7 linked regions of the Danio rerio genome follow. Each later gene encodes a partner of the first gene's protein in a complex. Links are inferred from orthologs where the notes say so. Each region holds a gene or a part of one and is shown in the gene's direction. Other genes may lie near its edges. The genes, in order: lsm4, snrnp200, usp39, snrpd2, prpf8, lsm5 and lsm3.

Region 1 (3,923 bases):
AAGAGCAACAAGTGAGGACAATTGGACGGGGGCGGTAAATAATGGAATAATCGTTTATCTCGATTAATGTTTTTTTATAATCGTTAGAAGCCGAAATCGAATTTTCGATTAATTGCACAGCCCTAAAATGAAGTGCTGAACAATAATTGAGCTTTTAAGTTAATCTGCTTTTCTTTTCAGCTGGTTGAGTTAAAGAATGGCGAGACATACAACGGCCATCTGGTCAGCTGCGACAACTGGATGAATATAAACTTGAGAGAAGTTATTTGCACTTCACGGGTAAATACGACTTCATTCAGATGAAAACGTCTTTGGGAGACTATTGATTCCTTACAAAATTAAGCAAAACACTTGTTTGTTTTATTTAAACAAATCTGCAGGTTATTTATTTGTCTTGCTGAAATGTGACGGCTGTTTTTTCTGCTTGCTCTGATTTGCAGGATGGAGATAAGTTTTGGAGGATGCCAGAATGCTACATAAGAGGAAGCACCATTAAATACTTGCGAATCCCTGATGAAATTATAGATATGGTGAAAGAGGAAGTGGTGTCAAAGGGCCGTGGCCGGGGTGGCATGCAGCAGAATAAGCCACAAGGAAAGGGCAGAGGAGGTGGACCTGGAAGAGGTGGCGGACCTGGCAGAGGTCTGATGCTTTTATATTCATACAATAGATCATATCATATAATCATTCCAGACATATATAGCCCTCCTTTTCCCCCAAGTTCTGTTTACTGAGAGATTTTTTTCAGGACATTTCTAAACAATAGTTTTAATAACTCATTTCTAATAACTCATTTCTTTTATCTTTGCCATGATGACAGTAAATATTATTTGATTAGATCTTTTTCAGGATGCTAGTGATCAGCTTAAACTGCCATTTAAAGGCTTGATTAGGTGAACTAGGCAGATTAGGGTAATTAATGGTAATTAATTGCTTAAGGGGGCTAATAATATGATAATAAATAATGAAAATAAAATGGTAAAAAACTGCTTTCATTCTAGCTGAAATAAAACAGACTTTCTCTAGAAAAAAATATTATCAGACATACTGTGAAAATTGATTTGCTTCATTAAATGTCACTTGAGAAATCTTTGAAAAAGGATAAATAATTCACAGGAGGGCTGACAGTTTTACTCTCATTGGTATATTTTTTTAAATGTGTACACGCAGTTTTGGGCTTAAAGGGCCATGAAACCACCTCGTTTCAGCAGGGTTTTCTCACCTCTACTTTGGAAAAAGCCAGAAAAGTGGGCGTGTCCAGCTCTGTTTAGGGGGGAGTGTCGGAGGAACTAAAGTGGGATGGTGTGGGAGTGTCTATTTGGGCACGCGCGAGTTTCAGTCAAAATACACACACATGAGAAAGTGATGGTGTTTAACCTACATGGACATCTGTAGTCGAATTATTTGCCAAATTATTAAATGGGTGACTTTAACTGCAGTTTGGCTCTTTCATTCAGGGAATTCATTCATGCCCCTCGCGACAAACGTGATATTTGATTCGAGGAACTGCTGTAAGCGTGTATTTTTCATGCAACGTTTGATACCGCACGACGAATGAGAGAAAAAAACCCTCCGCATTTCCCAGAAACTTAGATACACACGGCAGGTAGCGTCAGAAAGCCACGTGTGTTATTCCGGTCACAAAATGCGGTGCTATGTTTGCACTCAGTGCAATAGTTAACTTAATTCGATACGAACAAACTGAATAAACAAAGAGCACTGGTCGCTCACTTACCAAATCTGTAGAGACAGGACAATCACCAGCAACTAGAGCCGCGTCATTATGAAGAGAATACTAACGTTACAAGCGAATCCGGATTTCAGCATTTGCAGATGAGAACAGCTCTCAGGTAAACAATAATCCGCCTTAGACACGTAAGTTATTGTTGTCAAGCGTTGCGTACACTAAGGGGAGAGAAAAGGAAAACGAAACTTAATGGCAGCAAACTATAAAAGAAACACTTCACGCTTGTTTTGCCAACACAACGTGGCGTCTCTGTCCTGAAAACACTGTGATAGTAATGAATATTAATGAAGTTGCACAATAGGGCGCGCTGATTGGTTTGAACCAAGCTTTGCTCATGCATTAATGCATCACACTGTAAGACGTAATAAGACACACTCTATCACAGACGCCCAGTCTGCACGCTGGAATACACGCTATTATGTCATGGCCGTGACGCAGCTTCAAAAATTCGTTTCAAACAGGAAGTACGAATTTGCTTGAAATAACGCAAAAACAACCAATTTACATTTTTTAGTGAAATATAGGTGTCCTAATAGTGTTTTTAGCAGTGTGGGACACATATACCACTGTCAACAGCTCAAAAAATGTGTTTTGGTGTTTCGTGACCCTTTAAAGTTTTTTCCACTTGCCCTGACAATTTTAACTCTCCACACACGCACACACACACACGCGCGCACACACACACACACACACACACACACACACACACACACACAGATTAAAAAAAGAAATTCCCATTCTATTTGACAGGTGTTTTTGGTGGCCGTGGCAGAGGCATGCAGGGATCTGGCCGTGGACAGCAACAAGACAAAAAGCCTGGAAAACAACAAGGTGTCATAAACTAACAGTAGATATAAAACAGATCCTCCTTTTATTATGGGCTCCTAAAAATGACAATTCTGTGTTTAATTACTCTCCCTCATTTCCTTAAACATGAGACATTTGTTCATCTTCAGAACCCAAAATCTAAATCCTAAATCTGAGAGCGCCCTCGTCCTCCATAGACAGAAAAGTGGACAATGTTATCGTGCGACGTAATGTTATGTGTATTTATGTAGCACATTTATCGCGAATAGCCATGCAACCAAAGCACTTCACAGTCTTAAAGGGGGTCTTTCCACTCCACCACCAGTGTGCAGCATCTACTTGGATGATGCGACGGCAGCCACAGGACAACGGTGCCAGTGTGCTCACCACACACTAGCTATTGGTGGAGTGGAGTGGAGAGACAGTGATAGAGCCAATTCGGTAGATGGGGATTTTTGGGAGCCTATGATAGGTAAAGGCCAATGGAGGGAAATTGGCTAGGACATCAGGGTTACACCTCTTCTCCTTACAAGAAGTGCCATGGGATTTTTAATCACTACAGAGAGTCAGAGAATGTCTCATCCGAAAGACGGCGCCCACTGACAGTATAGTATTCCCTTCACTATACTGGGGCATTAGGACACACACAGACCACAGGTTAAGCGCCCACTGCTGATCACACTAACACAACTACAACAGTAACCTAGTTTTCCCATGAGGTCTCCCATCCAATTACTGACCAGGCTCAGCTCTGCTTAGTTTCAGTGAGTAACCGGCCTTGGGCTGCAGGCTGATATGCCTGTGGCTATACAGTTGAAGTGTACATACACTCTAAAAAAAAAAAAAAGGAACAAAACCATTTTTTAAATGTCTAGTGTAAAATCATACTAGTTTACTATTTTAGGTTCGTTAGGATTACCTAAATGATTTACGTTTGCTTAATGCCTGAATAATGAAAGAATTTTTTTTTTTTGAGAATTTTTATTTTACTTTCTAGACAGTCAAAAGTTTACACACATTTCCTTGGTATTTCTTTTTAGCTTTGATTTCAAACTGTATAATCTGGGCAAATGTTTTGTGTATCCTTCCACAAGCTTCTCTCAGTAGTTTGAAAGAATTGGCCATTCCTCCTGACAGAATTGGTGTAACTGAGTCAGATTTGTAGGTCGTCTTGCTTGCACAAGCTTTTTCAACTCTGCCCACAAATTTTCTATAGGATTGAGATCAGGGCTTTGTGATGGCCACTCAAAAACATTAACTCTGTTGTCCTAAAAGCACATTTTAACTAATTTGGCAGTATGCTTAGGGTCATGATCTGTTTGGAAGACCCATTTGTGGCCAAGTTTTAATTTCCTGGCTGATGTCTTGA
Region 2 (4,484 bases), on another chromosome or scaffold:
TTCAAATGATTGTCCAGCCCTAAATGATATTGTGTTTTAGCATAACGATAAGGATTAGACATGCTGATATTCATACAATATGGTATATACAATATATTGTCATAAATAACATCTATAATGCATGTTGGCATTATAATGTAATGTGTAACAGCGTAATGTTATAACATGTCAGATGTTCATTGAAAATAGTTATATTCTTTATGTACTTGTATGTTAGCACCTTACAGTGAAGCTTCATTTGTTAACATTAGTTAATTAAACTTAATTGATGAATGAAAACTACATGTAAACCGTTTATTTGTCTTGGCAAATGTCAACTTCCTTGTTAATGTTTAATAACTTGTTAATAACTAACATTAACTGCATTACTTTTTTAATGTAGCTATTTCTCACTTTCAATATTAGTTAATGTATTAGTAATGTTTATTGTTGCAAAGTGTTATTTATTGTACTTCATAATCCTTGTGCAATTTAATCTGCAATTTACTTTTTTGTTATTATACCTGTTGAATTAATCTTTTTGAAAACATCACATATTCTTATAAAAGCTTCAACAATCATGGCAACAAGATAGATTTATAGCATCACGCACTTATTATGCATATAGCCAGTTTGAGCTTGAGACTCAAACTTACCATCAAACTGATTGTGAGTGTTTGTGTTTCTTCCACAGAACTCTAACTTGGTGTTGCAAGCAGACAGATCTCTGATCGACCGAACACGCAGAGATGAGCCCACCGGAGAGGTGCTGTCTCTGGTCGGAAAACTGGAGGGGACCAAAATGGGAGACAGAAGCCAGAGAACCAAACCTCAGATGCTGGAGGAGAGGAGAGCAAAGTCAGTCTGATCACAAATGCATCAAGTTTGCTGGTAAAAATGTCTCAAATGAGTCAAGGATTTACTAAACAAATGTGGTGCATTGTGTGATGCAGGAGGAGAAAGAGAGACGAGGACAGACATGACATCAACAAGATGAAGGGCTTCACACTGTTGTCTGAGGGCATTGATGAGATGGTGGGCATTGTGTACAAACCTAAAACCAAAGAGACCAGAGAAACATATGAAATCCTGCTCAGCTTCATTCAGGCCGCTCTTGGAGATCAGGTAGGAACAGTGTCCTTGTTCATATGTGCTATGAATATGAAATTTTAATGGAACTACTGTAGATTTTGCTAGGGATGCGCTGTTATAAAAATTCTGGTTGATGACTGCTTTTTTGTTATTGGTGACAGATTTATATTTTAAAAATCTATATTTAAAGTATATATTTATATAAAGTATAAATGTTGATTAATTTGAATCTTTTTTTTTATTAATTACATTTTTTTAAATATTTGTGTTTATTTTTGTTCAAATCAATGAACATGGATTAAAGAAACTGTTTCAAAACATCCAGAAATCTATCAAAAAAATTGTGCTGACCTTTGTATGTTTGTGTAATTGCAAAATTACATGTTGATAAAGCAAAAGTTAATCTCTTTATGAATCTCTATTTTTAACAATCCATTAAGTGTAAAATGACAATGCTTTATTAGAAATTTGGGCTAATTTTGTATGTTATGAATGTAAGAAATTGATAGAATTTTTTTAAAATATCACAATATAAACTACATATATATTTTTTAAAATCTAAGCCAAGGGATATCCTGTGTGGAGCAGCAGACGAGGTGTTGGCTGTGCTGAAAAATGACAAGATGAGAGACAAAGAGAGGAGGAGGGAGGTGGAGCAGCTGTTGGGGCCTACAGATGACACACGTTACCATGTCCTGGTCAACCTGGGAAAGAAGATCTCTGACTATGGAGGAGACAAAGAGCTACAGAATATGGGTATTTTATTTTAATTTTTTTGGTGTCCAAGCTCTCCTCAACTTGATGTCCAGGTAGATTGTGCTTTACTGTCTGTCTTTTTGCAGATGACAACATTGATGAAACCTATGGAGTCAATGTGCAGTTTGAGTCCGATGAGGAGGTGAGCTTTGGCTTTGGTTGAATTATGATAATGTGTTTTTTGCTCTTTAAGTGACGTCATTGTGCTGTTGGTTCATCTGCAGGAGGGTGATGAGGACCAGTATGGAGAGGTTCGGGATGAAGGCTCTGATGACAGTGAGGGAGAAGAGGCAGATGAAAGCAGCACACTGACTGCAAATGTAAGTCACATGCTCCACGTGTTTCTGCATGTTATAATAAAGCAGTGACTTTCAAGCAGGTCACTGGGTCCCACAATTTTATATTATTATTAATGACTAAATTGTCATATTTATTTATTTATTTATTTAAAAGTTAGATTTTAATGTTATTTTAACATTTTATGTAAGCTACCTTTGTAATACTGCTTCAAATAGTCAATAATTTTAATGAATTGTTTATAGATAATAAACACTATAATAAACTGTTACAGTTGCAAATTCACAATTAAATATAATTACCCAAATGCCTGCAATTAATCCAACTTTATTACAGATTAGATAATGGAAACACACAAAAAGCAATAACAGCCACAAAATATTACAAAGGCTACAATTAACCAAAAATACATTGTCACCAACCCTCAGTTTAATCTTAGGCCTAGAAGTTTGAGCTGTTTTAACTTGAGGAAGTTTGCACTGACAGGTCTTAAAATATATCGTCTGTTTTGTTTCAAGATTTTTTAAAGGACTTTTATAAAAAATTACTTGTATGCCAAATATAAACTAGGGCCTTATCCTGGAAACCAGGCTTTAGAAATAATCAATGAAAAAACTACACCTGGATCATAAATAAGTACATAATAATAATAATAAATAATAATTATAGGGTTTACAGATCACTGATATAAAGTACAAGAACCAGCTTATCATTTTCTTTCTCCATAGCTGGGAAACACAGGAGATGTAATGATGACCAAAAAGAAGGATCTTCACCCTCGAGACATCGATGCCTTCTGGCTTCAGCGACAGCTCAGCCGCTTCTACAACGATGCCATCGTGTCCCAGAAAAAAGCAGACGAGGTCTTGGAGATCCTTAAGGTAGAGAATGTTCATGTCCTTAGAGACTAAGGGATTTGTTTGTATTTGTTTTGTTTTTGAGTTGCTGAATGAAAACTTTTTTTGTTAGACTGCCAGTGATGACAGAGAGTGTGAGAACCAGTTGGTGCTGCTTTTAGGCTTCAACACATTCGACTTCATCAAGGTCCTGCGCCAGCACAGGCGGATGAGTAAGTAGATTGTGTTGGATTAAATGGATTGGAATTTTTGAGAATGTTTCGCCAATGTGACTTAATGTTAAAAAGATATACTGCTTTTTTTTTAATGTTGCTTTTTTGTCATATTTAGTCCTGTACTGCACCATGCTGGCCAGTGCTCAAAGTGAAGCAGAGAAGGAGAAGATCATTAATAAAATGGAGGCCGATCAGGATCTTTCCAAAGTTCTCTACCAGCTGCAAGAGACTGAAAAAGAGGACATCATCAGGGTCAGGAATTGCCCTCTGGTTTTATTCACATTAGTGTTGGACTGTTTGAGATTTTAATCATTTAAAGACAAATGTCTGTCTGTAAATTTATGATGTTGTGTTTTCTTGCAGGAGGAGAGATCTCGCAGGGAGAGAATGAGAAAATCTCGTGTGGATGATCTGGAGTCTATGGACATTGATCATGGCGAGGTAGATCCCACTTAATGCTGTGTCCACCTCTTAAAATTAGAGTTAAATGTAATTTTTCTCAGTTTGATAACCACTCCTAATGTGCATTGTGACACTTTATTGTTCTGTGTTTTTTGTCTTTAGTCTGTGTCCTCAAGGCAGCTATTAGACCTGGAAGATCTGACCTTCACTCAAGGTAGTCACTTCATGGCCAACAAGCGCTGCCAGCTGCCTGACGGCTCCTTCCGCAAACAGAGAAAGGGCTATGAGGAGGTTCATGTGCCTGCACTCAAACCCAAACCCTTTGGTGATGAAGAGGTATTTATCTGCTAGTTTTTCTTTTCTTATTAGGGATAGGGATTTTTGGTTAATTTATTGCCACATCAAGTTGGCTAAGTAAAACAAAAAAGCTATTAAGCTTTCAAAAGCTATCAAAGATCATACTGAAATCTTGTGGAAACATTGCTATCTAAAACTGTATTCATATTTTAGCATTTAATTGTTATTCCTGTGATGGCAAAATGTAATTTCCAGAGCAAATGCTCCATTGTTTAGTATTGCATGATCTTTCAGAAATCTTTCTAATATGGTGAATATCCATATAACAAAATGGATGTGGTTTGTTTGTGTCGCAAGAAAGATTTATTTTCGCTGTTCTCTAATCACTATGCTTAAGTGAACACTATTGATTTGAAACAGAAATACTTTGTAACATCTTTGCTGTCAATTTTGATCATGTTAATGCTGTCTTGCTATATACATTTTTTTTTCCATTAAAAAAAATGTTATTGGCCATTTTGAACAGAAGTGTATACAACAGAGTTTAAATTGCTGGTTGATTGGCCAGTATTTCACTTTTCTCTTATTT
Region 3 (3,993 bases), on another chromosome or scaffold:
TCTTATTCTGAACAACATATAATGACTTGATTACATGCTTTATAAAAGACACCAGCTAAAATGACATTAACATGCCCAAAAATGATTGTCAGGTACATTTAGACCAAGAACCATTTGGTCACATATTAAAAGACACATTCTCCTTATTAATATAATTTTATAAAAGTATTATCAGCAAATACTAAATAGATAAATCATATTAGCAGCCAATGAATATGAAAGTACAACATTGTTTACGAGCAATTAAATAGTGCTAATGTTGTTTTGAAGTCATATTTAGATGCTATTTAAGAACCAATATTCAAATTTACCAAGTAAACAATATAAGGGCTATTAAAATGAACAAATGTGCGTTTATTAAACCAACTTTACCTCAATAACAACTATAAATGTTGTTCATTATTGACATTTAGTTTTTATTTCAGTAAAATGTGTTTCAAATTGCGATTAAATCCATTAGAATGTGTCCTGCTGAGTTTTATTTATTTATCTGAACAACAAATAATGACTTTCATGCATTTTTAACCATGATTTACCTAAAACACGCACTAAAATGACATTCACAACAGTTTTAACAGCCCAAAAATGATTGTCAAGTATATTTAGAACTAGAACCATTTGTTGACATGTTAAAAGACTATTTCAAGGCGCATTGTAAAGCACTAAAATGCTCATTTATTATAATTATAAGTGTTTTCCTCTACTAGTGAGTGTTGTTGTGGACAGAAACCTGGCGATCTGATTCCTCCTGATGTGCCTCAGAAAACCGTGGCTCATGTCCAAACGACCACCGGGCTTATATTTAGCATTCTCCCCCTCCCCATCGCGGATGATCTCCATACTTTCTGCTCTTTTAATGTAATTATTCCTGAAATGAATTCATCTTTAGCACATCTACAAACATTCTCTTTATAACATCTCGCCGCTGCTCACTGGGGGTCGGTGATTCAAAAGCGTTGTCCGACAAAAAGCGACACTCGAGTTGGTTTGTTTTCCATCCACAAAACAATTTAGCTCGACTTTTTTGGCTCTTCTTTGAAACAAATATCCAGTTTTATGTATATAGTTATATGATAAGCAATGAAAAATCAAGATAACACCATTGGGTGTTTGTTTACGCATTCTGCTGTGTTTTGGTCCAGGGGTTTAGTGCTTGTCGGCCATCCTTTTCTACAGCGGAAGTGCAAGCGGGAGTTTTGTAACGCGTTCACAGTGCGTTCATTCAGCGCTGAATTTACTTGATTTATAGTTGCTATTTACCTTAAAATATGATCAGAGGCGTGAAACGGGAGAGGGATTTTGATGAAGATGAAGAGGAAGGTATGCCTGGAGTGTTTATGAGCTTAGCAGTACTTGGTAACGTTAGCTTTTGTAGCACACGACACAGATATACACAGATTATCGTGTCTGTTTTGAATTGAGTGTTGATTTTGGCTTTTCAAAGCTCTCTTTCTTAAAATAAAGCCCTCAAATAGACGTAAGAAGGTCCACACAATGAAAGTCGTGGCATTAAATCTTAAATAAATGTCTTGCATAAATAATATTTTGGTTTCCAGGTCAAAGATCTAAACCTAAGTTATTTCATTTAAGATACGTTTACTGGAGATGCAAAATGAAACACAGGTTTGTTATTGAGGTAAAGTTGGCTTTATCTTTGCACATTCGTTCATTTTAACGCTACCTATATTGTTTACCACGATAATTTGAATATTAGGTCTGAAATAACATGCAAGTATGACTTCAAAACAACATTTGCACTGTTTCATTAACCGTAAACAATGGTGTAGTTTGATATTCATTGGTTGCTATATGATTTCCCTATTTAGAATTTACAATAACCACTTTTCTGAAATTATATTTCTTTTAATTATAGTGGTATGCTACAACCGAATGTTTAATTTACACAAAAGTCATTTGAAACGATAGCAGACACTGCACTTGTATTAAATATGACTGCTATGAATATTTTTCATATATAGACACGTTAAGGATTATTTCTTTTAAAATACAATATATGTGTCAGACAAAACTGGTTTAAATGTTGTTTATTATTATTATTATTATTATTATTATTTCAGACTGAATATTTAAACTAGCATAGTAAACGATATGAGGACCGTTAAAATGAATGAATGTGTGAATAAGTAATAATAATAGTAATATTAACAGCAACTTTTGTATTATTCCTCTGTTACTATTTTCGAAAGTGGTGCAGCTGTAACCCAACAATGTTTTTGAGTAAATACCAGCTCAATTATAAAAAAAAAATTCTCTTTATAAAAAGCTATGAGGGCATTTCTCTGATGCACTAAAGTCCCAGTTCTGCCTAAAGTTTTCTAGAGCTACATTAGTTTTATTTCATTATATATATAATAGATAAATATACTGTAGATATAATAGATAAATATACTGTAGATATAATAGATAAATAGATACATTTTTTTGTCTTCTGGAAAGTGGTAATTGCCAAGCTCTAAACCATGGGTGCCTTTTTATTATGAAGTGCCAAAAACCAAACTTGATTGAGGGCCGTGAGCTGAAGGTAAATATATCAAACTGTGTTACTAAGTTGCCGTGGATAATATCCTCATTTATTTAAAATTAAATAAAAGGTATACTTTAATCTTAATAACTATTGCTATATATATATTATTATTCATTTTCTTTTCAACATAGTCACTTTATTAATCCGGGGGGGGAGGGGTGGGGGGGGGGGGGGGGGGGTGTAACCAATAGCGTGAGAGATATCAAGTAAACCAAGTCCTGCCCCAAGACTGACAAAAATGCACAATTTTAGGTGCAAAGATGCATTCTGCATAAATGTCTCCTAAATATGCGCATGCGGTGAGGATTTTGTTGTGAAAACAGTGAAAATTTATGCACTCGCACAAATGCTTCCTAATATTTTTAAGGTGGCTTAGATAAAATTTCGGACGCATATGCGACCAAACGATCAAACCCTAGCATCTTTACTTGTTATTATTTCTTCATAAAAATTATAAAATAAGGAAGTTATCATCAATCACAATACAAATTACACTGAACTCCAAACAAACTCTCGTCTCCTCCACCAGCGGTGGGGAAAAAGCCATTAGAACGGCACAGATCACTCTACCTATTCATGTCTGCCTAGTCCCACGGGAAAAAAGTGATTGACAGGTGGTAATTTTTGTGTAACTTTTATTTATTTATGGTTTTGTTATAAAGACTATGTGGGTCAGGTAGTTAAAACGGTAGGCTACAATTAATTAATTTTTTATGAATAAATTGATATTTAACAACAACCGCCTACGACGACGATGGATATCGTTGGAAGTTGGTTGAGAAATCTTACCCAACAGAGAACCACATGACAACTGAGAGCTGTGATTTGTTATGAATTCTTATATTTTGTCTTTGGCTAATTTTAGAAGTGCGTGTGAAAGTGGGTCGTGGTTATGTTGAAGATCGCAGAAGCCGCCATTGTCCATATCTCGACACAATCAACAGGTTTGTTATTATGATTTGTATATATCTTTATTGCTTTATTGTTGTGTGCTTTGTAGGGCTGCACAATATATTATTAAATTGAGGTAAAGTTCCTTATATTGGCATGTTTGTTATATATATATATATATATATATATATATATATATATATATATATATATATATATATATATATATATATATATATATATATATATATATATATAGTATATTAGCCTGTATTGTTTACTAGGCTAATTTAAATATTAGGTTTAAAATTGTGTTCAAGTATGACTTCAAAACAACATTAGCACTATTTAATTGACTGTTAGCAATGCTGTACTTTGATAGTCATTGGCTGCTAATATGATTTCCCTATTTAGAATTTGCAAATAATACTTTTCTAAAAAGATGTTATTAAGGGAGAAAGTCAGAATGTGCCAATATAAAATCAACTTTACCTCAATTATTGTTTCAGCATTGGCTGAACACAGAAATTACATTTTATGCAGATGTGCTTCACTAC
Region 4 (3,833 bases), on another chromosome or scaffold:
AGATATATAATATATAAACTAGGCTTGGGCGGTATCCAACCGGCGGTATACCGTCAAATCTCCTCCCTATTTTAACCAGGTATCCGGTATTACCAAGCATAATAAACAAAATTACGACGTAAGGCTCAGACAGCGTCACCAAATTGTGCCTAAACCATTCAGAAACTGATACCGTATATGCGACCTTAGGTTTGCGGTCACCTGTTTGTCTTGTTTGTATTCTTCTGCGTAGGACGCTCTTTCTTCAAACACACACACACACACACACACAGAGATAGAGAGAAAAAGAAGAGAGAGAACCAAGCAACACCCAGCAACTCTCTTTCTCTCTCTCTCTCTCTCTCTCTCTCTCTCTCTCTCTCATTCACACACACACAAACACACACCGAGAGAGAGCACCAAGTGACACACGCAGATTGCATATTCGGAAATGTATTCCTGCACAACAAGAAATCGGGTTGTCCCCCGCGGTACAGCAGCAGGAATGCAGACCTCTAGTTCATATTTACCACGTCTTCCTTCTTGTTCGGTCGAATCCGGAAATACTGCCAAACTGCAGGTCACTTAGTGCGCGACTCGCCACCTCAACTCTCCCTCCCTCTCTCTCCTCCACACTGTCCCGTGATGACAATCACGCATACTTATTTGTAGGCAATAAATAAAGGATATTTAATATTGAATACTTGTCTACTATTTAAATTCAATGTTTTTTATGACGGTATAACGGTACTGAAACTGACACCGTGGCTATTTTTAGATCCTGCGGTATACTATATTACTGTATTACCGCCCAAGTCTAATATAAACATAATTATTAACTATTACTTAATAGTATATAAACTATTACTATATAACATATATAATATATAAACATTATATTAACTGTTACTATATAATAAATAAACTATTACTATATAACATATATAATATATAAACATAATATTAACTATTATTATATAGTATATAAACTATTACTATATAACATATATAATATATAAACATAATATTAACTATTATTATATAGTATATAAACTATTACTATATAACATATATAATATATAAACATAAAATTAACTGTTACTATATAATATATAAACTATTACTATATAAGATAATATATAAACATAATATGAACTATAATTATATAGTATATAAACTATTACTATATAACATATATAATATATAAACATTATATTAACTGTTACTATATAATAAATAAACTATTACTATATAACATATGTAATATATAAACATAATATTAACTGTTACTATATAATATATAAACTATTACTATATAACATATAATATATAAATATAATATTAACTGTTACTATATAATAAATAAACTATTACTATATAACATATAATATATAAACATAATAACTGTTACTATATAATATATAAACTATTACTATATAACATATAATATATAAACATAATAACTGTTACTATATAATATATAAACTATTAATATATAAGATAATATATAAACATAATATTAACTATTATTATATAGTATATAAACTATTACTATATAACATATATAATATATAAACATTATATTAACTGTTACTATATAATAAATAAACTATTACTATATAACATATATAATATATAAACATAATATTAACTGTTACTATATAATATATAAACTATTACTATATAACATATAATATATAAATATAATATTAACTGTTACTATATAATAAATAAACTATTACTATATAACATATAATATATAAACATAATAATAACTGTTACTATATAATATATAAACTATTACTATATAACATAATATATAAACATAATAATAACTGTTACTATATAATATATAAACTATTAATATATAAGATAATATATAAACATAATATTAACTATTACTATATAGTATAAACTATTACTATATAACATATAATATATAAACATAATATTAACTGTTACTATATAATATATAAACTATTACTATATAGTATATAAACTATATATAAACAATTTTTTTCATAACACAGTATGCTCTCTCTATTGTAATACATTTGACATGTTCTTAATAAGCATCATAAGCATTTACATAAGATGTCCAGTTTAAGGTATAAGGGGATATATTTAAATCCCACCCAATACTTCACCATTTCTAACACTTCACAAAAGTCTTAAAGAAATCTTATTAACAATTTTGTTTCAGTCTCATCCTCCAGCGCATATCTCATGTTGATGGTGTTATTTCAGGTCCGCACCACTCATTATTTTAGTTGGAGTGAGTCATCTACATGGCTGCATGTCAAGTTGTTGTCTGTTTTCTCTCGTGTTCTCAGGCATTGTAATATGGTTCTGGAGAATGTGAAAGAAATGTGGACAGAGGTGCCCAAGAGCGGCAAAGGCAAGAAGAAGTCAAAGCCAGTGAACAAAGATCGCTACATCTCCAAGATGTTCCTGAGAGGCGACTCGGTCATCGTGGTGCTGAGGAACCCACTCATCACAGGGAAATAAAGCTGACGTGTAACACGACTGTTCAAGTACAGGCTGTCTCCTGGACACACACTCACTCACACAACTGTGTTAAAAGTGCTAATTAGGCTTTTCAGCTAATTAATTATTACTTCATACACAGAATGCCTTGAGCTGAAACAATAATGTTTAGCTGGAAAACGTTTAACATCATCTGGAGAGATTGTCTGGTCAACAAAATGATAAAGATGTTGGAGTTAATTTTGTTGTTGTTATTGTTTTGTCATTTGTGATTTGTTTTCTAAATAAATTTTTGGATATTCAAGTCTTGATCTATTCAATCTATTGTATGACTCTAGGATGTAGGCATGGAACGATAACCGTTTTCAAGGTATACTGCTGTTCGGAAAAGTCAAGGTATTAAAACCGTCATCATTATCTTTTCATTTGTGTCTAGGGTGTATGTAGGATAATATAGTAAATAGTTTATTTCCTTTTTTTTTTTTTTTTTTTTTTTTTTAGGACAACATTATCTCCAGCTGGAAAAATATTCAAAGATGTCATTTTAAATTGTAAAGAAATCTGTGCTTTTGAAACTAATGAAAACAGCAGAAGTCAATGATTCATTTTCATTATTTATTTAGCCTGACATTTTTACTGTATGAATCCCTTTACATGATCTTCCAGCATTATACAAATTATTTATAGAAGTAACCGACCCATCAGAAAAAAAACTTTAATATTTAGCCCTGTATAAGTCTAAAATTTCACTCATGGTCTTAAGAGTCTTAAAGTCTTGCACTTGATTTGAAGAAACCTGCAGAAACCCTGATGTTGTGCTTCCCAATCTGGCCATTATTGCACATCAGCAACAGCAACAATCCTAATCTCAATACCAAACTTTAACCTTTTTATTTAAAAGGGTCATTTTTAACTCTGTTTTATCATAATGATTTAATTATTTTCCTTACAAAAACATTTGTTTAAAAGTGCTCCATATATTTACTGCTGACACCAACTTGGACAGATTGTGTATAGATTTAGTTTATTAACATTTGATCAGTTGTTTAAAGAGAGTGTATTTTGCTTGCTTGTTTTTATACAATGTTTAAAATATTTTGCCAAGAAATGTCTAAAATATTTAAAAATAAAATGTTATTATAAAATTATTATTGTATTATTAAATGTGTTGAGATGCAGAAACCTTTAAGCACCATCAGAAATTTTCCTCTTAAATGTGCATTTTTCCTTAGCCTTCTGTGTTTGAAAAAATTTGAAATTACTGAACCTACACAATCACCTGAGAAAAATGCATAGAGGTTTTTGCATCTGAAATCTTGATGTATTAAATTATAAAAAATATACTATCCGCTTGTTAAGTGTGAAGC
Region 5 (4,957 bases), on another chromosome or scaffold:
TGGAATGTCTCACGCCCCTCACTTCTAGCAGATTCCAAGTATGTCTCAGCTTCATAGATATTGACTTGTATATTAAGTGGAATCATGTCATGCATGGTGCCAGCCCATATACCCTCATGAAAGTGACATACTGATGCCCTGTTTTAAGATTCTTGCATTTCTTTCTACAGGGATGTAATGGACAGCACCACCACACAGAAATTCTGGATTGACATTCAGCTCAGATGGGGTGACTATGACTCTCATGACATTGAGAGATATGCCAGGGCCAAGTTCTTGGACTACACCACTGACAACATGAGTATTTACCCATCACCCACTGGAGTTCTGATTGCCATTGATCTGGCCTACAATCTTCACAGGTCAGATTTTTAGATCATGTGATTTGTCACATAATCAAGAACAATCTTTAAAAAAAAAAAACAGATGTTCAAGTATTTATTCTTTTCTCTGCAGTGCCTATGGAAACTGGTTTCCCGGAGCCAAGCCTCTGATCCAGCAGGCAATGGCAAAGATAATGAAGGCCAATCCGGCTCTGTATGTGTTAAGAGAGCGAATCCGCAAGGGTCTGCAACTCTACTCTTCAGAGCCCACTGAGCCTTACCTGTCCTCCCAGAACTATGGAGAGCTCTTCTCAAACCAGATCATCTGGTTTGTAGATGACACCAATGTGTACAGAGTCACCATCCACAAGGCAAGTCAACATTTTAAAGATGTTCCTTGTTGTTTTGATTGTTTTGACCTTGGGTTGTGTGGTAAAATGTCAATTTTATCCTGTTTCAGACCTTTGAAGGTAACTTGACCACCAAACCCATCAATGGAGCCATTTTCATCTTCAACCCCAGAACTGGACAGCTTTTCTTGAAGATCATTCACACTTCTGTATGGGCTGGACAAAAGCGTCTTGGACAGGTCTGTTTATCACTCGTATTTTGTTTACACAGTTGTTTTTTATTTTTTTATTATTATTTTTTTGTACTTTTTTTTACTTATCCGACTGGTTACTGGTTCTGCCTTTGTAGTTGGCTAAGTGGAAGACTGCTGAAGAAGTGGCTGCCCTGATCCGATCGCTGCCTGTTGAAGAGCAGCCCAAACAGATTATTGTGACCAGGAAGGGCATGTTGGATCCTCTTGAGGTTAGGCACTTAACCTTTAGCAACCAAAACGAGTGTTGAAGCTCTTAACTCTTAGGTTAACAACTATCTGTTTTCTCCAGGTGCACTTGCTGGACTTCCCCAACATTGTAATCAAAGGCTCTGAGCTCCAGCTCCCCTTCCAGGCCTGTTTGAAAGTGGAGAAGTTTGGAGACCTCATTCTGAAGGCCACAGAGCCTCAGATGGTCCTGTTCAATCTGTATGACGACTGGCTGAAGACCATCTCCTCTTACACTGTAAATCCAGCTTTTATTCTATAAACTTAATAAATATAAGCTATTCATTAAATTAAATAATCATTGAAGCAAAATTTTGTTGTTTCTGAGAGTTCCACCACTTATGCTACGATGTCTAAAACTAAAATCTGTTTTTGTTGCCTAGGCATTCTCTCGTTTGATTTTGATCCTGAGAGCGCTTCATGTCAACAATGATCGTGCCAAAGTTATTCTGAAACCTGACAAGACCACCATTACCGAGCCCCACCACATCTGGCCCACTCTGACGGATGAGGAGTGGATCAAAGTGGAGGTGCAGCTCAAAGATCTCATCCTGGCTGACTATGGCAAGAAGAACAAGTAAGAAATACAGATTTCCAAGTGCATTCAAAAATATATACTTTGGGATGTTCAAGATTGTAAATTCTCAATCTTCTCCACAGTGTGAATGTGGCATCTTTGACTCAGTCTGAAATCAGGGACATCATCCTGGGAATGGAAATCTCTGCTCCATCCCAGCAGAGACAGCAGATCGCTGAGATTGAGAAGCAGACCAAAGAGCAGTCTCAGCTTACGGCCACTCAGACTCGCACAGTCAACAAACACGGAGATGAGATCATCACCTCCACCACCAGCAACTACGAGACGCAGACCTTCTCTTCCAAAACTGAATGGAGAGTAAGGTACGGAAATGTTTCTTGTCTTTTTGGTCATTAAAGCACAGCTAAAGTTCGCTGTTAAACCGTTTTCTTCATCTCACAGGGCGATCTCTGCTGCAAACTTGCACTTGCGTACCAACCACATCTATGTGTCATCGGATGACATCAAAGAAACGGGCTACACTTACATCCTGCCCAAGAACGTTCTGAAGAAGTTCATCTGCATCTCAGATCTGCGTGCTCAGGTTAGATTAACAGTCTAATTAAAATGTCTTCTCTTATTTTTGCTTAGAATCATTTCAGGGCTGTCATGATATCAGATTTAAACAGTATATGATCTGTGGGAGTCTTGAAAAAATTTTATGAGTAAAACAAATTAGACTTGGAGGAGAAAGTTTCTTTAGTTCAAAGTATGGCAATTCATGAGACTAACACTATTTTAATATATAATTTTATGTGTAATATTGAAAAGCGTCTATTTCTGCATCATAACTTGATAATCTGCCTTTTTTTTTTTAAATAATTATTTGAAATTAAATAAAAAAATTGGTTTTCCACTACCTTTCTTGCATTATTTGTGCTTGTATATTTCCCCCCTTGCAGATTGCAGGTTACCTGTATGGAACCAGCCCTCCAGATAACCCTCAGGTGAAGGAGATCCGCTGTATTGTGATGGTGCCACAGTGGGGTACACATCAGACCGTTCACCTTCCCAACCAACTGCCACAACACGAGTACTTGAAGGTCAGGAATTTACACATGCACATTTGTTGTATTTGCACATCTAATTTGGTGTTATCAGCAGTCTGTGTCCTCCCAGCCTTTTCAAATGCTGCCCTTTTTCTTTTATAGGAAATGGAGCCTCTTGGATGGATCCATACACAGCCCAATGAATCGCCCCAGCTCTCTCCTCAGGATGTCACCACCCATGCAAAGGTCATGGCTGACAACCCATCCTGGGATGGCGAAAAGACTATCATTATCACTTGCAGGTATAGATTAAACACATTAACACAATGTGGCTGTGTTCCTAACTTCCAATTTATAATGTACTGCATTACATATAATATAGTATTGCATGTGAGACTTAAACCTATTGGTTTTGCTTGTCTAGCTTCACCCCTGGTTCCTGCACACTGACGGCCTACAAGCTGACTCCCAGTGGATATGAGTGGGGTCGACAAAACACAGATAAGGGTAATAACCCCAAAGGTTACTTGCCTTCACACTATGAAAGGGTTCAGATGCTTTTGTCTGACCGTTTCCTTGGCTTCTTCATGGTGCCTGGCCAAGTCTCCTGGAACTACAACTTCATGGGTGAGCATAGATTCATTTTTATGATATATATTGAAGTGATACACGTTTGTAAATTGCAGATACCACAGTGCACTTTTGCTAATTTCTCTTTTCTTGTTTTAGGTGTCCGCCATGATCCCAACATGAAGTATGACCTGCAGTTGGCCAATCCGAAAGAGTTCTACCATGAAGTCCACAGACCGTCTCACTTCCTCAATTTTGCTTCTCTGCAGGAGGGTGAAATCTACAATGCTGACCGTGAGGATATGTATGCATAAGTACAAACAGAGACTATTTAAAGTAAAAGCACCCACAGGCTAAAGCAATGCTTTGGTTCTGTTTTGTCCCTCTATACTGTTAGCAGTAATGTAAATGCTTGGAAACTCGAAGCATGTCATCTGTTTTTTGCTTTATCATTAATTGCTTGTCATTGACTTGATTATGCACAAGTCTGAAAGCACATTGTGCTTTGTCTGTTGTTGTGAGATGAATGACTTTTTTGTCTAAAAATATCTGTACCCTTTTTCGGAGTTGTTTGTAGTACATTGTGTTTTTTATAAATCCGGAATAATTTGTCTTTTCCCTGTAGCTATGTTGTGCATCTGTTATGTACACTGTAGTTTGGGTTTAAATAAAGATTACAACTTTTATAAGCTCTGGTTTGTTTCGTAGAGTAAATTATTGGTTTGTTTACTAAATTAACAGTAGCTTTATTATCTAAAGTGCAAGGACACTATGCTTTCAGAGGAAACCAATCTGCATGCATTTGTTACAGTACACTGAACAGCTCAGCACTCAACTTAATATGGCAAAATGTGTTAACATTTAAATGTAATATTAACTGATAAAATAACAGTACTCAAGTTTGGTGGAAAAAAATAATTTAAAGGGGTGGTCTACTGTGTATTTTTAAGGCTTGGTTGTGTTGTAAAAGATGCAAAGCAATGTGTGCTCATGCTTCATTTGTAGAAAGTCATGTTATTTTTTTATATCTTACTTTGATTATATACAGCAAGGCAGCTAACATGAAAATGACAGTCATATTTCCTAGTTCCTCTGAAAGGCCCGCCCTCAAAAGGCTCTGATCGGTCAGCTAACATGTGCTGTGATTTGCGGATCGGCTCGCATCATGCCCCTACAAGCCCACGCCTTGGTGCTGTGTAAACAGTAGCTGAATCGGACAGAAAATGAAGTACAGTGCACATCGATAAACATCACGCCTGCTCTCTAAAATAAAATCTCTCAAGCGTCTTTTACATATATTGGGAATAAGCATGTGTAAGTAATATAAACTTTTCACATTTCTTTTGCGAGTTTGTTATTTGAGATGTAAAACGCACGGAAAGCGTCTACATACTGTAGAGACACTGCAGCGCTAGTGAAGACTGGGTGTTTACAAGTGTTTGACTGATAAATATGAATTTGTAGCTAAATTGTTAGCGGTGCCAAACAGCATTTCCTGTTGTTTACATCCTCGCTACAGCATACCGTTAACACTAGAAACTGTGTATGTAATTAATCAATTTTAACTAATAAAAACAGGTTGTGGCTCACAATTCATCAATTGAAGGAGTTTTTAGCTGAATCCAGCTCTGAACTGAGACAGATTCTGGAAGTTCTCCTTTGTCAAATG
Region 6 (5,221 bases), on another chromosome or scaffold:
AGCCCATCACTGGGAAACATCCACACTCATTCACACACATAGACCTACACTACGGACAATTTAGCTTACCCAATTTACCTAGCCCTATACAACATGTTTTTGGACTTCCACACAGAAATGCCAACTGACCCAGCCGGGGCTGTGAACCAGTAACCATCTGGCTTTGAGGTGATTGTGCTACCCACCGCTCCACCATGCAGCTAAATTTTTTATGTATTTCAAATGTGGGTCAAGAAACCATGTAGCCCATATATCAATATTTAACATCTGGGCCAAATAGCCTTCTACATTTGACATCTGGACCATGTCATGCGTGCCACCTTAAAGGCAGTGCTACCTGGCAAACCTGACCCCTGTTTGGCTTACATGCTGTATGCCAGTGCTGAATAAATGAATGCTATGACGAGAGGGTCTGGGTGCAGACCTGGTGCAGTGCAATCTGAGTTGCATACAATACTTTTTAATAGCCCCATCTAACCCCACCCCTAACCCTACCCATCACAGTGACGTCACTTGCTCCATTTGAGTGCATTGTGTCTGACACTGTATCGCTGATTGATGCAATCTTAGCTTGCATCATAAAGGCTGCATATTGGCTATGCCAGCTTTATACCAAATCTGGGCCAGAATTCCTTGTTACCTGGGTATTGATGTTTCAAGTCTGAATACAACCTTAGGCCTATAATGATTTTTTTTTACTCTGGAAGTGGAACAGTTACAGTATTGTCAAGTTTTACAAAAAATGGAAACCTATTGTGGAAGTGTACTGTGTTCTGTGTTTTGGTTTCCGATTTGGTCCGTCATTCCATCAGAGAGGAGATACTGGGAGATGGAAAAATTAATCAAGCTATAATCAAGCTATAAAACTCCAAATTACCGTGACAAATTACTGTGACATACAGTTTGGTAGCCTATATGATGCAACATTTTGACTGACTGACATGCCCTTTAAAAGAAAAAACTTGGGTAACACTGCTCTAATGTTACAGCCACAGGCTGTACAAAAAGCCAAGCCCCTCTCATGCTATCGATGTAAACAAAGTAGTAATCTGTTCAGATTCATCTTCAGCCTTAGTTAGTATAGCAAACTCAAAATCAGATAGAGAGGATTTAATAACAGAAATCTATTTATCTTTATATAGATTAAAGGAAATAGGAGTAGTCGTTTATTTCTGCTGGGTTCCATCACATATTGGGGTATCTGGTAATGAAGTTGCTGACAAATTAGCAAAGGAAGCACTAAATAAGCAAGAGGAAGTAAATGTACCTCTGGGGAAAAGAGAGGCAAAATCGATTTTAAAGGAAAAACTAATAAATAAATGGCAAATTAGATGGGATAATAGTAATACTGGAAGATGGCACTATAGTATTATACAGACAGTAGGGACAACACTAAATCAAGGAAGAAATAGGAAGGAAGAGGTGTGGTTATCAAGATTAAGATTGGGACACACAGGGTTAAATGCAACACTTGCGTTAATGGGTTTACATGAGGATGGGAAATGTGATGTATGTGGTGTAACTGAAAATGTGGATTATGCACTATTTATATGTAGCAAATATAATAAACATCGCAATATGTTATTCAGTCAGTGTGGGGAAGATAAAACAATATATAAAATTATTCTAGGAAAAGGTATAATAGATTGGCAAGTATATAGAGCGTTTATTAGGTATATAGAGTATTCGGATTTAGGTTATTATAGTCTTATATTTATGGATGAGAGTATTCTCAATCATTGTCATAAAGGCCCTTTATGTTAGAGGAGCTGAACACGCAGTGCTGACATGAGTATGTGGTCTAGATGCAAAGATTGGACAATATGAAACATCCAAGGTGTTTTTTTCCCCCCTTTCCCTCCCTCCTCGTTTCTTTTTGTTGCCCTTTCATCGGAGTAAGATTCGGTACAGTAGGTGGCGATAATGCTTTTAATTGTTAGTCGCCATAAAACAGAAAGAAGAAGAAGAAGAAGATGCTATCGATGTGTGCTGATATCGATTATCCATGCTTGTAATTGGCTTCCGGTCCCGATTATTCAGGTCTGTTATCAAAATGGCGGCAATCACAGCAACGAATCCTTCGCAGCTTTTACCACTCGGTTTGTTTCACTTTCTTTAAAATTGCTTATCATTTACTGACATAACTTTTGTGTTTTTGTACGGGGCAGAGATGCCAATCAGTCACGTTCGTAACTCACTTTGCTTTTTTATCTAATTGAATACACCTGTGCACAAAAGATGTGGCCCTAATCATGTCAATGTGTTTTTATTTTAACTTAAATATTTAATTTCACAAATTTATACATCAATGTGTGATTGATTATATATAAACGGAAGCCAGTTCATTTAGTTAGTGTGGGCGAAAAAAATAAATCACTAATATGTTTCCCTCTGTTGGAGTTTAAAATATTGTAATTATGACTTGGGAACACATTTATCATTAACAATTTCCATTAAGATGTATTTATAAGTAAGATACTCTGAAAATAAAATTTTATGTATGAGTTACGACATTAGAGATACCGTGTCAAATGATTAAAAGCCACTCCACTCTTTACTCGCAGGATTTTTTTGTTGTTGAGTCAAATAAGCCTAAAATTAGTACTTTAAAGAATGAATTTGGTATTAACATATTACTCAATCCCACACCTAGTGTTAAAGCCAAAGAAATTTTAAATTTTATTAAACGTGGTTCGTTAAAAACTTACCTTGGCTGTATAGTTGTTGAAGTAACGTTTAACATAAATTGAATTTCTTTACAAGGTTTTACAGTTGTATATCACACTGACCACTCAAAATGTTTCCTTTAACAGCCAATGATGTGACTGTGTTTATGATGGGGATTGTGTGCTGTCTTTCAGAGCTGGTGGATAAGTGCATTGGCTCTCGGATTCACATCGTTATGAAGAACGATAAAGAGATTGTGGGAACTCTGCTTGGGTTTGACGACTTTGTCAGTATCCTTTACCTACTGGCGGTAAAAAAATAAACAAAACACTGTCAAATATTTGTGATGTTTACAATTTAGTTTTGGATTCAACTTTTTTTTTTTTTTTTTTTTTATAAATACTGCTAGCTAAAGATATAGTTACACATAAGATTTCCCTTTATTTCCCTTAGTCCGTTTATTAATCTGGGGTCGCCACAGCGGAATGACTCGCCAACTTATTTAGCATATGTTTTACGCAGCGGTTGCTCTTCCAGGGTGGAAAATGGCATAACGGCAGCAATGGTTACTGAACAACAACGTTGTGGAATCAGTCTGCCTAAAGAATGTTCATTAGCCTGTGCTTTAGTTTTAGCATTTTAATATAAGAAAATGTCCAACAAAAGAACTCTATCATATTTACAGACTCCAAATCATGCCTCCAAGTGATGGAATCTTCAGAAAATGATCATCCTTTGATTAATGATATTATAACTAAAGTTCACCATTTACAAAACCATTTTTTTTCATATTTTTTTTTTTTTTTTTTTGCTGGGTTCCGGGACATGTTGGGCTTTCAGGAAACGAGCGAGCTTGATCCAGCAGCTAAGGATGCTTTGAAATAAGTTGTGAACGAATGCCAAATTCCTCTTTTAGAGATGAAATCTTTTATCAACGTTTACTTTTTAAATAAGTGGCAAGAGGAGTAGGATGCATTGAGAAATAATAAACTGTATGAAATACAACCTGAAATCTCAAACTGAATTTTTAGTCATTTTAAGACTAAATTTGATTTAGTGATTTTTACTAGATGTTGTATTGGACATGCAAGAATGATCCATGCTTTTTTTTTTTGCTCAAATGTGAAGACCCTGCTCAATATTTGCACATCACACTTTCTTTTACAGTAAAACAGATTTTACTGGATTGTCCTGCTTTTAACAATTCCAGAAGGCTTTTTTTTTTTTTTTATCAAATGATGTCTCTTCAGGACATTTTTAGCAAAATGACACCTGGAAAATAGTAAAAAAATTATAAAAAAATGTATTAGCATTTAAAGATGTATTTAATTTATGTATTCATTTGTTTTTGTTTTTTAATTGTATATTTATTATTGAAATGTTCTTGCCATGAAAATAGCCTTGCATTGCTGACATGGCATTAAATAAAAAAATACAATACACTACATCACATGTTGTCAACAGAGAAATGTAAATGTCTATGTAATGTTATCTTTGCGATGTTGTACATTTCCTTGATGCTTTACATCAGACATGGTCCTAGAGGATGTCACAGAATTGTAAGTATATTTCCTAAACAAAAATATTAAATATTTGCTTAATTGTCTTTGCACAGTGTATTCATGCATTCTCTTCTGCTTTGACTTAAAGGATAGTTCCCTCAAAAATTTTAATTGTCAACATTTACTCAACCTTCTATTGTTCTAAATGCTGTTCGAGTTTCAAACGATCAGTATCCTGTCTCCAAAATTTTAGGTGTTTGTTTTATTAGGATAAACTATCAATAAAAAAAGCACTTTCGTTCTAGAGATTAACTAAAGCTCAAGTTTTATACCATTAGACTATTTATACTGTATTCTAATTATTCTATAAACTATACTGCATAGAGAAGGCATTTTCTAATCTTTTTAGAAACTTTTTTTAAAGTATGCTTAGTTAGAAGTTCAATGGTATTAGCAAATTTTTATCACTATTGAAACCGTTTAATATTTTGTGACATTATTATTAAAGAATAATTCCAAGTATTATCATTGATTAAAAAAAAAAAAAAATCAATTGAATGTGAAGTGTACTTGAATGTGAAGTGTACACTCATGTATTCAAGATGCAAGGAAAATTGGATTATGAAGTATTTTCACAAGAATTTATAGATGTAGGTTACATTTTTGAACACTTGGTATTAAATATTTCCTCATCTCGGGCTTGTGTGTTTGTATCACAGTGAAATCACACCAGAGGGAAGAAGAATCACAAAACTGGATCAGATTCTCCTTAATGGCAATAACATCACAATGGTATGACAAATAAGTTCATCTGCAAGTAATCTCATGCATGCACCAGCAAACAATATTTGCTTTAATGTCATTTTAATTTTTTTTCATTATTTTAAAATGTAATTTTTAATGCAAGTTTATGTACATTTTCTGTTGTCAGAAGTGTTCTGTTTTGGCATTTTGTAAACTTATTTCAATTTTACATTTTTATAAACAAAAACAAAGAAGTTTGCTTCTGTCATTTTAATAATTAGCTTTTTTGCTATTCCAGTTTAATCTCA
Region 7 (4,941 bases), on another chromosome or scaffold:
TAAAAATGTCCAGAGCTGTTTGTTTTTAGATTACTCATTTGCATTGGTGAATGTAACATTTAGACTACCTGATAATTAAAACAAATCACAATAAATGTTTTTTTTTTTGGGATACATCTATTTGAATAAAGAAAAACAACTGATTATTCTGGGTAAACACGCAGCAAATTGAGAGTTAATTGAAGGAAAAAGTCATTAAAGGTTTATTAACTGTGAGAATTGTATTGAAGTGTGCTCGAATTATTGCTAATTAATTAAACATGCATCTTAATGTATGTTACTTAAACCTGTATTATAAATACACCATATTGAAGCGGTTTAATTATTTCAAGCATTAAATTAAGCCATTGTTAGATTTATGAAAAATCAACTTTTCATTTAAAAATCAATAAAAGTCTGTCCTAAATTTAATATAAAAGGTTTCTGCATATTGTTTTATACTTTAGAAATAAAATGATGTCATCTGAGGTTACGAGGGAAAAAGCTGCAGTTTCCACATATATCCAGCAGGGGTCCTTATGCATCTATTCATTTCAGCTTTTACTTCTTGATGCTTTAGGACCCATCCCATGCTTGAATGTCTCAGTAGTCCTTCAGCGTTAGAAGGAATGGTAGGCTATAAAATATTTTCTCAGCTTACACAGTCGATCTACATAACTGAATAGCAACACAGGCACAGGTTACTGCATCTATTTTTTAATATATATATATATATATATATATATATATATATATATATATATATATATATATATATATATATATATATATATATATATATATTTAACTGACTGTCACACATTCTCAGCATTTGCTTTTAGTTGAATTTCAAGTGCAGCAAGCTAAACTTGTTATTTATTTCTTAAAGAAATATTATAATAATTTACTGTCATGTTGTGTGACATGCAAAAGAAAATATTTAGAAAATTTTAATATTCAGAAAGTTTTTGTTTCCAATTTTTATTTGTGCTCTAGACCCAGGCCTTTGCAGAAATGTTAAACTTTTTAAAATTTATAATGGGTTTAAAATTCATTTAAAAAAAATAATCTTAATTTTTTTTCCACTTTTCTCATTTTTTTTCAGTGTGGTCAGTTTGACCTCAAACACCATAAGTTTTTTTTTTCTTTTTTTTTTTTACACATATAAAGCAACCAAATCAAGTCCAGTTGTGACTGTTTTGTTAAAGGTTGGACTGATGTGACCCCAACATTGCCTAATTGATAAAGTTGCAATTTCATATGCAAAATTGCATATAAATAAACACCAAATAGCCTACTCTTGATAACAATGCAATCCAGATGATCAGCCTCACAACTTTCACTATACAACTAAATTGTCTAATTTTCCTTTGCAGGAAATGTGAGATGGGCTTTCCCAGATATGAAAATGCGGAATTTAAAGGAAGCAGGAGGAGATGTGTTTCAAATCTAACAGGGAGGGGGAATAGTACTTCCATACTCACAAACACAAGCTTTTTTCAGGAATGTCTGTGCGATCACTGATCCATCAATGTAGAAAAGGGATGAAAAATTATAATTTTCGTAATTTAAAAAAAATAAATAAATAAATAATTGCACAGTGACATCCGGGAAAACTCCCGATCATAGCCTATGTGTATATCTTTGGCTTTGGATGGTCACAGCTTGCATTCATTTCAAAGGAGCGGTTCCCTGTACTAACATGGTGGATCTATTGACGCATTCCTTCCAATAGACAACAACAGGGTAGGCGACATCTAACGTATATATCTATGTCTAACAGGAAGCAGATGCATTTTCCGTCTAATGATTTGTTCGCGAGAGAAACGGAAAATGCATTCTGGGTAGATTTGAAAGATGGCGGACGACGCTGAGCAGGTTTGCAATTTTTGCTTTGTATAAATATTTCGTTAGCTGTTTGATTATCGCGGAGGTTAATCGTATTAATTGTGTTTATTTTTAACTAGTTGAACACACGGGTAGCCTATGCTAAAGCAGCTTGTAACTACGACGATTGTTTGCATGGACATTTTCATTCAAATAAAATACATCACTGAAATTTACTTTACAGCAACAGACCACCAACACCGTAGAAGAGCCTCTGGATCTGATTCGGCTCAGTCTGGATGAGAGGATCTATGTAAAGATGAGGAATGACAGAGAACTGCGTGGCAGACTGCATGTGAGGGGAATACTACATTACATACTCTAAGTTAGTTATACTGCACGTGAGGGAAATGCCACATAATATACTGCATACGAGGGGAAAATACTACATTAAATACACGTTTCTACTGTACGTTATTGGAAAAAATACAACCTTAAGCATATTATATAACGTTATACTAAACCTGATTCAAAATACTACATTAACCATTATATAATGTTACATAAAGTTAGTTACATTGCACGTGCAAGAAAATACTAAGTTACATTGTGTATATATAAGTTACACTAATTATACTGCACGTGAGGGAACATACTACATTAAACATTATACAGTTATACTGCACGTGAGGGAAAATACTACATTAAACATATTATAGACTCTAGTTAATCTGCATGTGAGGGAAAATGCTGCATTAAACATTATTAAATTGCACTTGAGGTAAAGTACTTTTATAGATATATTGTTAGCCTTCACGTGAGGGAAAATTCTAAATTAAACATTAAATATTATAGTTAGACTGCATGTGCGGGAGAAATACTACTTTAGTATATACTCTAGTTCACTGGTTCCCAACCTTTTTTTGCCTGAGACCCCCTTTTTCCCTGGAAAATATTGTTAGGCCCCCCTCCACATTTAATGATATAATCGCTCATATAAGTTTGCACTAATAATGACAAAAAATATTGTTTCAAACAAAGCAAAGGTAGATCTCCAGGAACAGGATTGGCCACCCCTGCTCTAGTTAGACTGCGCTTGAGAGAAAAAACTAAATTAAACAGATTATACTCTAGTTATCCTGCACCTGAGGCAAACATTAGGCATATTATATTTATCATTATTATATTTATGTTCATTCATTCATTTTCTAGTCGGCTTAGTCCCTTTATTAATCCGGGGTCGCCACAGCGGAATGAACCGCCAACTTATCCAGCAAGTTTTTAGACAGCAGATGCATTTCCAGCCGCAACCCATCTCTGGGAATACTATTTATATATATATATATATATATATATATATATATATATATATATATATATATATATATATATATATATATACTAATTAAACTACAACTGCACATGAGGGAAAATACTTATATAAATATTATATACTCTAGTTATACTGCATGTGAGGGAAAATACTACATTGTAGTTATTATATACTCTATTTATACTGCACATGAGAGAAACTACCACATTGTACATATTATATACTCTAGTTCAGTGGTTCTCAAACTGTGGTACGTGTACCACTAGTGGTACGCAGGCTTCCTTCTAGTGGTACGTGGAGGAATAAAATATGTCATGTACATGCTACACACATTTCAAAATTGATAAAAATGATGTATATAATGTCATATGACATATAGCCTATATTTCTCATGTAATCTGCCACGTTTTTTTAACTGTGCAGAGTTGTAGCTGCTTTACTGGGCCTACAAGGCTATTGTATCTCAATACTGCTCATTTTGGTGGTACTTGGAGAGACAATTTTTTTCTGAGGTGGTACTTGATGAAAAACGTTTGAGAACCACTGCTCTAGTTATTCTGCCCTTGAGGGAAAATACTACATTTTATACAGACTCAAGTTCAATTATGTCTCTAAATGTATTATGTTCTGTTATTAAAGTCACATGAATTTGGTCTGTGGATTTTTTGGAGAAAATAAAGGATAAAAACATGTAAAAGTGAATTGATAAAATCTATTAAAATGTAATAATCAAATGTTTTATCCTAATAATTGACTACACGCATTAGTGTAGTATGTAAAGTGTTTAGTAAAAGAAAGGAAACATACAGAGGATTAAAATAATATTTATATTGTAATTGTATTTAGATCTAAAATACAAGTCTAAACTAATAGTCTACAGCAGTTCTAATGTGTTATTTTAACAGTACGTATGTATATATGAACAGTATATTGAAAAATCTGTTTGATTTTAATAACAAATCACAGAGATAAGGGATCAGAAAAATGTAAATGTTTTGTATTTTACAGAGGTAAATAAACTTATGGATGACCAAAAATGTACTGAATACAACTTCCTTTGTGTGAATTAAACAGCACAACCAAAAAGGATAAATGTTGACATAAATATACTTTTATTATTTTAATATTCATTTCTTTAAATATTTATTTTCTTTTATTTACCATATTTGCATTAACAGGGCTCGAAATTGCGACTATTTTGGTCGCATATGCGCCCGAAATTTTATCTATGCGACCTTAAAATATATTTGGGAGCATTTCTGCGAGAGCTTAAAATTGTTGTGTGCAACCAGTTTGTCTGCTCTTTGTCTGCAAAAATGCAGCGCTCGGGAATGGTTTAAAACAGTTATCATGTCAACTTGTTGCAGTAAACAAATCCAAGTCCGTAATGCTTGCCCTGCCTTTGCGCTCTTCTTATTGGCCCACCACTGCTCTAGCACTGAATGCGAATGATTGGTTAATATCAGCTGTTAATCACTCAGTCGCCTTCTGGCTTCGGACGACAGAGAGGGCTACTACCGCGAAAATTGTAAAGCGCTGAAGATGAGAAAGATAACCCTGACAGATTTTGTTTTAGAAACCATGGCATCTAAAGTTATAAATAATGACACATCATACTAGTGATCATGTGCTGAATGTTAATCCACCATCTACACTTTTCCAAGAGTGGAAGACTTCCATTGGCTTCAAGTCCACTATGAAAAGTCTGTGGGATGTAATTTTCAGGTAACTGTTTGCCACATCTAGCACGAGAGCTTCTGTTTAATCCTTCATATAATCGCCAGATGCTGTCCGCCGTGAAA

The links.
Region 2: lsm4 (region 1) and snrnp200 share a complex: the UniProt entries of both Homo sapiens proteins name them as parts of the U4/U6-U5 tri-snRNP complex. The link is inferred for Danio rerio from reciprocal best matches to the Homo sapiens genes LSM4 and SNRNP200.
Region 3: lsm4 (region 1) and usp39 share a complex: the UniProt entries of both Homo sapiens proteins name them as parts of the U4/U6-U5 tri-snRNP complex. The link is inferred for Danio rerio from reciprocal best matches to the Homo sapiens genes LSM4 and USP39.
Region 4: lsm4 (region 1) and snrpd2 share a complex: the UniProt entries of both Homo sapiens proteins name them as parts of the U4/U6-U5 tri-snRNP complex. The link is inferred for Danio rerio from reciprocal best matches to the Homo sapiens genes LSM4 and SNRPD2.
Region 5: lsm4 (region 1) and prpf8 share a complex: the UniProt entries of both Homo sapiens proteins name them as parts of the U4/U6-U5 tri-snRNP complex. The link is inferred for Danio rerio from reciprocal best matches to the Homo sapiens genes LSM4 and PRPF8.
Region 6: lsm4 (region 1) and lsm5 share a complex: the UniProt entries of both Homo sapiens proteins name them as parts of the precatalytic spliceosome. The link is inferred for Danio rerio from reciprocal best matches to the Homo sapiens genes LSM4 and LSM5.
Region 7: lsm4 (region 1) and lsm3 share a complex: the UniProt entries of both Homo sapiens proteins name them as parts of the precatalytic spliceosome. The link is inferred for Danio rerio from reciprocal best matches to the Homo sapiens genes LSM4 and LSM3.

What each region holds. Positions count from the first base shown.
Region 1 is NC_133186.1:6,962,153-6,966,075, reverse strand, and holds part of lsm4 (U6 snRNA-associated Sm-like protein LSm4), read left to right. Parts: intron 1-180; coding exon 181-279; intron 280-440; coding exon 441-642; intron 643-2,497; coding exon 2,498-2,578; exon of another isoform or gene 2,579-3,923. UniProt on the Homo sapiens protein: Plays a role in pre-mRNA splicing as component of the U4/U6-U5 tri-snRNP complex that is involved in spliceosome assembly, and as component of the precatalytic spliceosome (spliceosome B complex).
Region 2 is NC_133183.1:33,113,557-33,118,040, reverse strand, and holds part of snrnp200 (U5 small nuclear ribonucleoprotein 200 kDa helicase), read left to right. Parts: intron 1-673; coding exon 674-837; intron 838-932; coding exon 933-1,104; intron 1,105-1,634; coding exon 1,635-1,827; intron 1,828-1,913; coding exon 1,914-1,969; intron 1,970-2,051; coding exon 2,052-2,147; intron 2,148-2,852; coding exon 2,853-3,005; intron 3,006-3,093; coding exon 3,094-3,193; intron 3,194-3,311; coding exon 3,312-3,448; intron 3,449-3,559; coding exon 3,560-3,637; intron 3,638-3,760; coding exon 3,761-3,934; intron 3,935-4,484. UniProt on the Homo sapiens protein: Catalyzes the ATP-dependent unwinding of U4/U6 RNA duplices, an essential step in the assembly of a catalytically active spliceosome. Plays a role in pre-mRNA splicing as a core component of precatalytic, catalytic and postcatalytic spliceosomal complexes.
Region 3 is NC_133180.1:74,850,277-74,854,269, forward strand, and holds the start of usp39 (ubiquitin carboxyl-terminal hydrolase 39), read left to right. Parts: upstream 1-1,193; 5' UTR 1,194-1,268; coding exon 1,269-1,320; intron 1,321-3,410; coding exon 3,411-3,489; intron 3,490-3,993. Other genes in the region: si:ch211-283h6.4 (UPF0561 protein C2orf68 homolog), read right to left, coding at 731-840.
Region 4 is NC_133193.1:43,800,794-43,804,626, reverse strand, and holds the end of snrpd2 (small nuclear ribonucleoprotein Sm D2), read left to right. Parts: intron 1-2,312; coding exon 2,313-2,487; 3' UTR 2,488-2,770; downstream 2,771-3,833. UniProt on the Homo sapiens protein: Plays a role in pre-mRNA splicing as a core component of the spliceosomal U1, U2, U4 and U5 small nuclear ribonucleoproteins (snRNPs), the building blocks of the spliceosome.
Region 5 is NC_133190.1:30,754,376-30,759,332, reverse strand, and holds the end of prpf8 (pre-mRNA-processing-splicing factor 8), read left to right. Parts: coding exon 1-38; intron 39-170; coding exon 171-362; intron 363-456; coding exon 457-694; intron 695-783; coding exon 784-912; intron 913-1,022; coding exon 1,023-1,136; intron 1,137-1,216; coding exon 1,217-1,390; intron 1,391-1,535; coding exon 1,536-1,729; intron 1,730-1,812; coding exon 1,813-2,052; intron 2,053-2,131; coding exon 2,132-2,273; intron 2,274-2,631; coding exon 2,632-2,772; intron 2,773-2,880; coding exon 2,881-3,020; intron 3,021-3,142; coding exon 3,143-3,345; intron 3,346-3,447; coding exon 3,448-3,602; 3' UTR 3,603-3,984; downstream 3,985-4,957. UniProt on the Homo sapiens protein: Plays a role in pre-mRNA splicing as core component of precatalytic, catalytic and postcatalytic spliceosomal complexes, both of the predominant U2-type spliceosome and the minor U12-type spliceosome.
Region 6 is NC_133187.1:13,906,298-13,911,518, reverse strand, and holds the start of lsm5 (U6 snRNA-associated Sm-like protein LSm5), read left to right. Parts: upstream 1-1,971; 5' UTR 1,972-2,053; coding exon 2,054-2,099; intron 2,100-2,861; coding exon 2,862-2,957; intron 2,958-4,198; coding exon 4,199-4,226; intron 4,227-4,888; coding exon 4,889-4,961; intron 4,962-5,221. UniProt on the Homo sapiens protein: Plays a role in pre-mRNA splicing as component of the U4/U6-U5 tri-snRNP complex that is involved in spliceosome assembly, and as component of the precatalytic spliceosome (spliceosome B complex).
Region 7 is NC_133197.1:33,572,067-33,577,007, reverse strand, and holds the start of lsm3 (U6 snRNA-associated Sm-like protein LSm3), read left to right. Parts: upstream 1-1,773; 5' UTR 1,774-1,836; coding exon 1,837-1,857; intron 1,858-2,050; coding exon 2,051-2,161; intron 2,162-4,941. UniProt on the Homo sapiens protein: Plays a role in pre-mRNA splicing as component of the U4/U6-U5 tri-snRNP complex that is involved in spliceosome assembly, and as component of the precatalytic spliceosome (spliceosome B complex).